Linked DNA regions of Tribolium castaneum. The protein of the gene in region 2 purifies or fractionates together with the protein of the main gene of each other region. This does not show direct contact. Links are inferred from orthologs where the notes say so. Each region holds a gene or a part of one and is shown on either strand. Other genes may lie near its edges.

Region 1 (3,990 bases), on a different chromosome or scaffold from region 2:
GTAAACGGACTCTGTTGGCGTGTCCACAGTGAAGTTGCGCAAGGATGACTCGCCGAGAGCTTCGAGTTTTTGGGCCAGTTCCGCTGTCTAATTTTTTTTTATTAGATTAATGTTATAGTCAGGGAGGAGCACAAATAACTAGAGGATTCGAAACGATATACTAATTTAAACCTCCTCGATAGTTCAATAAATTAAAAAAATGGTTGTATTTAAATAACTGTGAATACAACGCAAATAAAAAAAAGTAGATTAGATCTCGTTTCGTCTCCTACGTAGTTAGGAGGTGAACTTTGTTAGTACTGGGAAATTAAGTATTTTACCTTTGCTTCGCCTTTTTGTAAGATAGTGTCGATGTCTTCATCGGTGATTTCCGAGTCTTTCGATGCGAAGACATGATTGGCCCCGTGCCGGATCATGTTCAACATCTCGTCTTTGTTCAAAGACTGCGATTTGTTGTCGATTAGACGCCCTTGTTGTATCACTAACTTGTCTAGCCTCAGCTTGACTTCGGCCCGTTCTACGATTTTTTCCTCGACTGTATTTTCGGTGATAAGTCTGAACACACGAACTTGTTTCTTTTGGCCGATCCTGTGCGCTCTGTCCATGGCTTGGAGGTCCATTTGCGGGTTCCAATCCGAATCGTAGATGATGACAACGTCTGCTGTTGCTAAATTAATACCCAAACCTCCGGCTCTCGTCGACAACATAAAAATAAATTTTGAGCTATTTGGCTCATTATATTCGTTGATTTGGCGTTGCCGGTCCTCGTGCGGCGTCTGTCCGTCCAATCTACAATAATTGTACTGTCTCCAGTGGCAGTAATCCTCCAAAATGTCCAACATTCGTGTCATTTGTGAAAAAATCAAAACCCTCGAGTCCTGCTCTTTTAATTTGGGCAGAAGCTTGTCCAAAAGCACCATTTTCCCGCAATTGTAGACTAAATGTTCGTCGGTGGTGTACGGGGGCCCAGGCTCAGCCCCATCGAACAAATAAGGGTGGTTTGAACACTTACGCAATTGCATGAGAATGTTCTGTAGTCTCATTTTTTCTACTTTACCGGCCCCGTTTACCACATCAATATCCTTCATCAGGACTTTAGTATACCACTCGCGCTGCATTTTGCTCAAACCGACGTAAACTTTGAGTTCTTTTTTCGGTTTTAATTTTTTCTCGACCTCGGATTTGAGACGTCTCAATAGAAACGGCTTCAAGACAGCGTGCAAGCGTTCGACTAACTGGTTATCACCCAAACACTGGTTTGTGTTAAACCAAGCGTCGAAATCATCAGCAGAGTTAAAAACATCAGGGAGTAAAAAGTTAAGGAGGGCCCAAAGTTCGTGTAAATTATTTTGTAAGGGGGTACCGGTGAGTAAGAGACGATTTGTTGTTTTAAACTCACGGAGAATCTCCGATAATTTCGATTTCTCGTTTTTAATACGATGAGCTTCGTCTATTACCATGTAGCGCCAGTTGAATTTCTTAAAAACTGATTTTTCTTTGATAACCATTTCGTACGAAGTCACACAGACGTCCCAATCGCCTGGCATCATCACGTCCCGAATGAAAGCATTCTAAAAAAATAATTAACGAAACACAATTAGAATTAAAGGATCCATTCTATCAAAGCGGGGTTGTTATGATGACTAAGGTTGAAAAACATCTTAAATTCATAGAAAAATATAAAGATGCTTCAACTTTTTCCAACCATATTCTCTCTTCTAATCATTTTTGTACTGACAGTGATAAGGAAGAGGCCTTAACCTTAACCCCCTGTTACCAGCCCCCTTTTACGCCACTGATGAAGAATGTAATCGCGAAAGCGCTCTGTCCTATCACTCTTTTTGGATATTATAAATTTTTACGTAGGTTGGACTTTGTGTTTTCCAACCTTAGTCAAAACACAATTAAACTAAACCAGGTCTTACCCTGGCCTCTTGGTCCCCAATGAGACACACAGCGCGGATGCTGGGACACCACTTCTTGAATTCGTTCATCCAATTGGCTAGAGTCGACTTGGGGACAATCACAATGTGAGGAGACGGCGTGTTTTTATAATGTTTCATGAAACCTAGCAAGGAAATGGTCTGGAGCGTCTTCCCGAGCCCCATTTCGTCGGCCAAGATCCCATTGATCCCGTTTTCGTACAAAGACACCATCCAGTTCAGCCCCCGGATTTGGTAGTCCCTCATTTCCCCGTTCTTGATGAAAGGCGGCGAGGCTTCGAACCGAATCGTCGGTTTGGCCTTGGCATTGCTTTCGGCCAGCAGTTCTTCATCTTCTTCCTGCTCGGTCTTGCGGTGGCGGTGGTCCGCCACTGGGTCTTCCTTGATTTTCTTGGGACGGCCCGATTTCGGTTTCGAAGGCGTTTTGTTTTGGTTCATAAAGTGGGAGAAAATCTCGGTTTGTTTGAGCAGGTAATCGAAACGGCGGCTGCGGTCCGTTTCGAGTTTGGTCTCGAAGTCTTCGCCCTTCCCACGCGACGAGAGGGTGTCCGAAGACGAGGCATTCTTCAATTTCATAAATAAAGCAGAGTCAATGACCCGTTTTTACTTTTACTATTGTGGTTGTTTTAACAACAAGGCTCTTACCGAATTCTCACCAGTGTCAGCGGTTTCACCGCCTTCTTCCACTTTGGACATGGTGCTGGGTGCGCGAAATTCTTAGCTAAAACTACGGAATGTTGGTTTTTAACGACGATAATTTGGAAAAATGCCGTTCATTTAATGATTCGGAAGCGATACGTAGCGGGAAACACTACGAACTAGTCGCAGGACGGCCGCATCTGGGGGCAAATGCGTCAAACTGGTGAAACACCAACAATCCCTACACACTTTGAGCCCATTTTCGGGCGAAAATACAACAATAATTGCATGCTGCACCCCACAACAACGAGAGAATTTTATGATGTGGACAAATTTTTAAAAGACAATTTTTCATAAGGCGGTGAAAGCGTTTTAGACGGTGGCCTTGTAAATGTTGGTAGTCCCGACTGTCAGATTGTTTAAAACGCCGGATGTTTGGTTGTGTTATCTCAACATCAACAGTTTTGGAATAAAAACATAAAACCGTTCCTGATAATGGTAATTGACTATTTTCAATAAGTACTTAGGCGTTAGTATTGATTTTAGACGACGTCCCCTTCCTTTGTTTTAAAAAAGAATCTCTCCTCAGTTCGTAAGAAGATGGCAGGCTCCAAATTTGAGTTGACTGAAGAGCAGAAGAACGATATTAAAGAGGCGTTCGATTTGTTTGATAATGAAGGCTCTGGGAAGATCGACGCCAAAGACCTGAAGGTGGCAATTAGAGCGTTGGGATTTGAGCCAAAGAAGGAAGAAATCAAGAAAATGATTGCTGATATTGATACACAGGGAACTGGAAAACTGTCTTTTGATGATTTCTTGCAATTGATGACCATGAAAATGGCCGAAAAGGATTCGAAAGAGGAGATCATGAAGGCGTTTCGCTTGTTTGACGATGACGAGACCGGAAAAATCAGTTTTAAGAACCTGAAAAGAGTGGCTAAAGAACTAGGAGAGAATCTCACAGATGAAGAATTGCAAGAAATGATTGATGAAGCAGACAGGGATGGAGATGGTGAAATCAATCAGGAAGAATTCTTGCGAATTATGAAGAAAACCAGTTTGTACTAAGTTGGAAACATACCAGGTGATTTCGTAAAATGCTAAAATGACAGCCTTACAAGAATTAAATGCACAGTTTCCTGTCCTATTCGCAATTTAATTTGTTTAAAATGTATTTGGTTTTGCATTAAATTGTAAGGCTAGTCTAGTCGTCTTGCGTGAATCACCCTGTACCAATTAATTGTTTGGAAACGTCTAGTCACCGTTGCACAAATTGTCAGTATTGTAAGTAGTCTAATATTTGTAACTTCTTAACTCAGTCTTAATCATTTTCCAAATTTTCATGCATTATTTTTAAGAAAAACTCGTATATATTTCTACTAAACCATCAAAAACAACGTTGAATTTG
Region 2 (3,948 bases):
AACGTGGACTAATTATAATTCAACAATGAATGATAATAACAATGTTGCCAATTCAAAAAAATGAATTTAATAATTTTTGAGTTTATTGTGATACGCACCGAATGAATTGCAAAATTACATTTAAATCTCTCTAATTGGTTTTAACTTAAGCGTAATAAAATGTAAAAATAATACTGTTTTTGACATTTTCGTTTTGGTTGTGCGATATCTTACAAAAACATTAGTTCATAAACGTGTTTTACTATTTTAAGTGTACAAAAGATAAAATAACACCGTTTTCCGACCAAATTGAGTGGTTATTTTAACAAAATTTTACGCACAAAAAACCAAGTAAATTAAGTAAAACACGTAAAATCTCATCAGATTTTTTACAACAATTTTTTCAAATGAGTTTTAGACATATCTGGATGAGTGGATAGTTTTGAAATTTTTTTTTTTTTTCTAAAATGTAGTTGCAGAGGTATTTTAATTTTGCATACTAAATGAGTCGATCGGATTGAAAACAGTAATTTCGGTTCACTTTCATAAAAACCATTGTGATGGAATTGACTAACCTGTTACCATGACAACTCGTATAAAATTTAATACTAAGAGTATCCAATTTCCACCACAATGGTTTTAATGGAAGTGAACCGAATATACTTAAAAACACTTAGAACATTACTATACAAAATTTTGGAAAATTTTGTTTTACATTTAGTAATTTTTACTTTTCGAGAATTTTTGAAATGCAATTGGCGACATTTCACCAGACTTGGCAACACTGGATGATGAGTTTTTGTCGCCATTACAGCGCCATCTTCTAACACTAGTTGTAGTAAATTGGTGTTTACCGAAGATTTCTGCAACGAGCGAAACCTGTGAGCAAAACGCATTGCTGACTTCAAGGTGATAAGACTGATAAGTTTCCTACGTGCGAATTGTTGAACCTTGGAATTTAATCGAAAATCGTTATCACCAGAAACTCTTAAGATAAACTGATATCAATCTGTAATTGGAAAAACAACTCCAAATTACTCACCATGGTCAATGTTAGACAAATATTTATTTTTTCGACCAATAGTTTTTAATTAGTTGTTATGTAACTTTTAGTTTATTTAATTTTAAGCCAGTGAAATGTGATAAGTTTTGTTGTTTATTGTAGTTGGTGAGTACAGTATCTGTACCTGTACGTATTTCCAAATTTTGAATATTTCGCGCCTATTTTGTATTGATTAGTTCAACAGTTAGTGCAGTGATTTTGGATAGAGGGGGCAATGGTCGTCCATAAATTCTCACGCGTGTTCGCAGGCGGCTTGCACAAACTATTATCACACCAAAGTCACAGTTTGCGGTGTTTTTCGTCCTCCGGCATTTGTTTCAATATGGCCTATTCTGTTGTTGAAAGAGGATCTCCTTACTCTCCAGACTACAGAGTTTACATCCGTAAGACTAAAATCATATAATATAACCTCTCACAATCCTTGATCTTCATCTTTGACCCCCGACCCTTATCATAGAACTTTTAATTAACAGAAAATCAAAACGGACCAATTTCGCCACTTCACGATGTCCCTTTGGTGGTGGACAGCACCAAAAAAATTTTCAACATGATTGTGGAGGTCCCCAGGTGGACCAATGCCAAGATGGAGGTAAGTCTAAAAAGGCGAAAAGATAAACAGCCATCAGCCAGCCTTCTCTTAGATTACTATGAAGGAGATCTTGAACCCCATCAAGCAAGATGTGAAGAAGGGTAAGCCCAGGTTTGTTGCCAATTGTTTTCCGCACCATGGTTACATTTGGAACTATGGGGCTTTGCCCCAAACTTGGGAAAACCCCGAGCATCTTGATGATGGTACAGGATGCAAGGGGGACAACGATCCCATAGATGTTATTGAAATAGGGTACAGGGTTGCGAAACGGGGGGAAGTCCTTCAGGTGAAAATTTTAGGAACCATTGCGTTAATTGACGAAGGTACAATCAACAAGTGCCGGGTTTTCCTCTAATTATTTTATCCACAGGAGAAACAGACTGGAAATTAATTGCTATAGATGTTAAGGATCCTTTAGCCGATCAAGTGAATGATGTTAGTGATGTAGAGAAACATTTCCCTGGTCTTTTGAAAGCCTCAGTTGAATGGTTTAAAATCTATAAAATTCCAGATGGTAAACCTGAAAATCAGTTCGCTTTTAATGGCGAAGCGAAACCGGCGAGTTTTGCGCTGAAAGTGGTAGATGAGGTATTGATCTATTTCCAAGGATTTTCTAGTGTTATTAAGTTGATGCATTTTTTATAGGTACACCGTTTCTGGAAAGCTTTGGTCAATAAAGAAGTTGATGCCAAGGGCATTTCCTGGTACGTAAAAGTTATGGTGACATTGAGTGTTTCTTTTTATGTTATTATGTTATTTGATTACGGCGTTTTTACCTAAAACTGATAAGTTACAAGGTTGCTAAATTGTTTGTTTCATATTGATTGAATGCTGAAACTTTTAAAACATGACAAGAGTTATCTTTGTTGCCATTATTTTTATACTTGAAGGTAGATCCCATTGTTATGAACAGTAATTTTTCCGTAAATCTACTATTTATTGTTTGAACATCATTATTTGCGCTGTGCTTTGCTTTAATTTATGATTCGTAAATGATAAAGCGTAATCTTAATTATTTGTATTTTTTTAAATGAAGTCATAACCAATTGGTACTGAAATAAAATATCAACTGATTTATTTGCTACCTAAGCAGAAAGTGAGGTGGACCTTTTTGTCTTTTTTTGTTTATGTTGCAATTATTTGAGTTGATTTTAAAGTTATCACTATTTTTTGATAAATTATGTACCGAATATTCCTCGTCCAAATTTTACTCAAGGAGGCGTTTGAACACAAAAAGCATCAGATTTATACTATTTGTTTTGTAAATTTTTAGTTTAAAAAACTAGCTAATAATTAATTTCGTAATAATTAACTTACGTTTTCAAAACGAATGCAATGAATTCATGATTAATGAATAGCCACTTTCGAGTAAATAACTGATATCTTTTTTTGTGATAAAAGTGGAATTGCATTTAATATGCAAAAAACTTCAAGTTCAACATTCCAAACAAATCACCCCATTTATAGTTTTTCTACAAAAACATTCAAATTTACTATTGTTTTCACTTGTTTAATTCTTTATTTAATTCTGTTTTTTAGTTCTCTAACGATCTTGATTTTGCTGGAACGCCAGAAAGCATTTATTTTTTGTATTTTATTCTGGCGTGTTTTGACAAGATCTTGCAAAATAAATGAGTTCTTAATGAAGGCTAAAATTTTTTGGGAAATCTATGCTTTTTCGATATACAAAAAGTTTACTTAATCGATTTGTTTTGCTATTGTCTATCTATCTTTAAAATTTTGCTAAACCATTCCCTAACAGGCTGTATTTAAATATGTAGTTTGCTAATTTTAGTTTTTGAGTTTTTGATTGAAAAATGTGCAAAATTCTCGTATATATAACAACCAGTGGCGGAAGTAATTTTTATCTCGGTTTCTAAATTTCCTTAATAAAAATGTAATTAAGCCATTAATTGATTGCTTTAATTACTTTTTCAAGTGTCAACACTACTATTGAGGGCAATCCATTCAAAATATCAGTCAGTGAGGCTAAAGACGTGATTAACAAAACTCCAGTTTATTCGCAACCGCAAAAGGTCGAACCTATTGGTAAGTCTCTCATAAAATTTGTTTTCTTTTTAATTTAATTTTTTAGTTGATAGAGTTTATTTTGTTAGAAGACTGTGCAATAAATGTAGACTTTAATAAACACTCTCTTCTTCTATTAAATGTTTTATAATACTTATATGTTGTGTTTTTTTTTACAGTGGATAAATGGCATTACGTCCATTTAAAATAAAGAAGATATTAAAAATTGTTACACCCGTGCATTTATTGTTTCTATTTTTTTTCTAAGGGTAAGAGTGTAGCGCATGGT

Evidence for each region.
Region 1: the proteins of Nurf-38 (region 2) and Iswi fractionate together in Drosophila melanogaster (co-fractionation; 4 studies listed by BioGRID, with this or other methods). This does not show direct contact. The link is inferred for Tribolium castaneum from reciprocal best matches to the Drosophila melanogaster genes Nurf-38 and Iswi.

What each region holds. Positions count from the first base shown.
Region 1 is NC_087402.1:7,785,148-7,789,137, forward strand, and holds the start of Iswi (chromatin-remodeling complex ATPase chain Iswi), read right to left. Parts: upstream 2,804-3,990; 5' UTR 2,640-2,803; coding exon 2,589-2,639; intron 2,508-2,588; coding exon 1,926-2,507; intron 1,572-1,925; coding exon 321-1,571; intron 88-320; coding exon 1-87. Other genes in the region: uncharacterized protein LOC660873, read left to right, coding at 3,078-3,080, 3,129-3,650.
Region 2 is NC_087397.1:12,922,780-12,926,727, forward strand, and holds Nurf-38 (inorganic pyrophosphatase), read left to right. Parts: upstream 1-1,144; 5' UTR 1,145-1,256; coding exon 1,257-1,425; intron 1,426-1,515; coding exon 1,516-1,631; intron 1,632-1,683; coding exon 1,684-1,954; intron 1,955-2,001; coding exon 2,002-2,219; intron 2,220-2,276; coding exon 2,277-2,335; intron 2,336-3,570; coding exon 3,571-3,680; intron 3,681-3,726; coding exon 3,727-3,776; 3' UTR 3,777-3,816; downstream 3,817-3,948. Other genes in the region: CYP6BQ13 (cytochrome P450 monooxygenase), read right to left, coding at 834-875. UniProt on the Drosophila melanogaster protein: Component of NURF (nucleosome remodeling factor), a complex which catalyzes ATP-dependent nucleosome sliding and facilitates transcription of chromatin.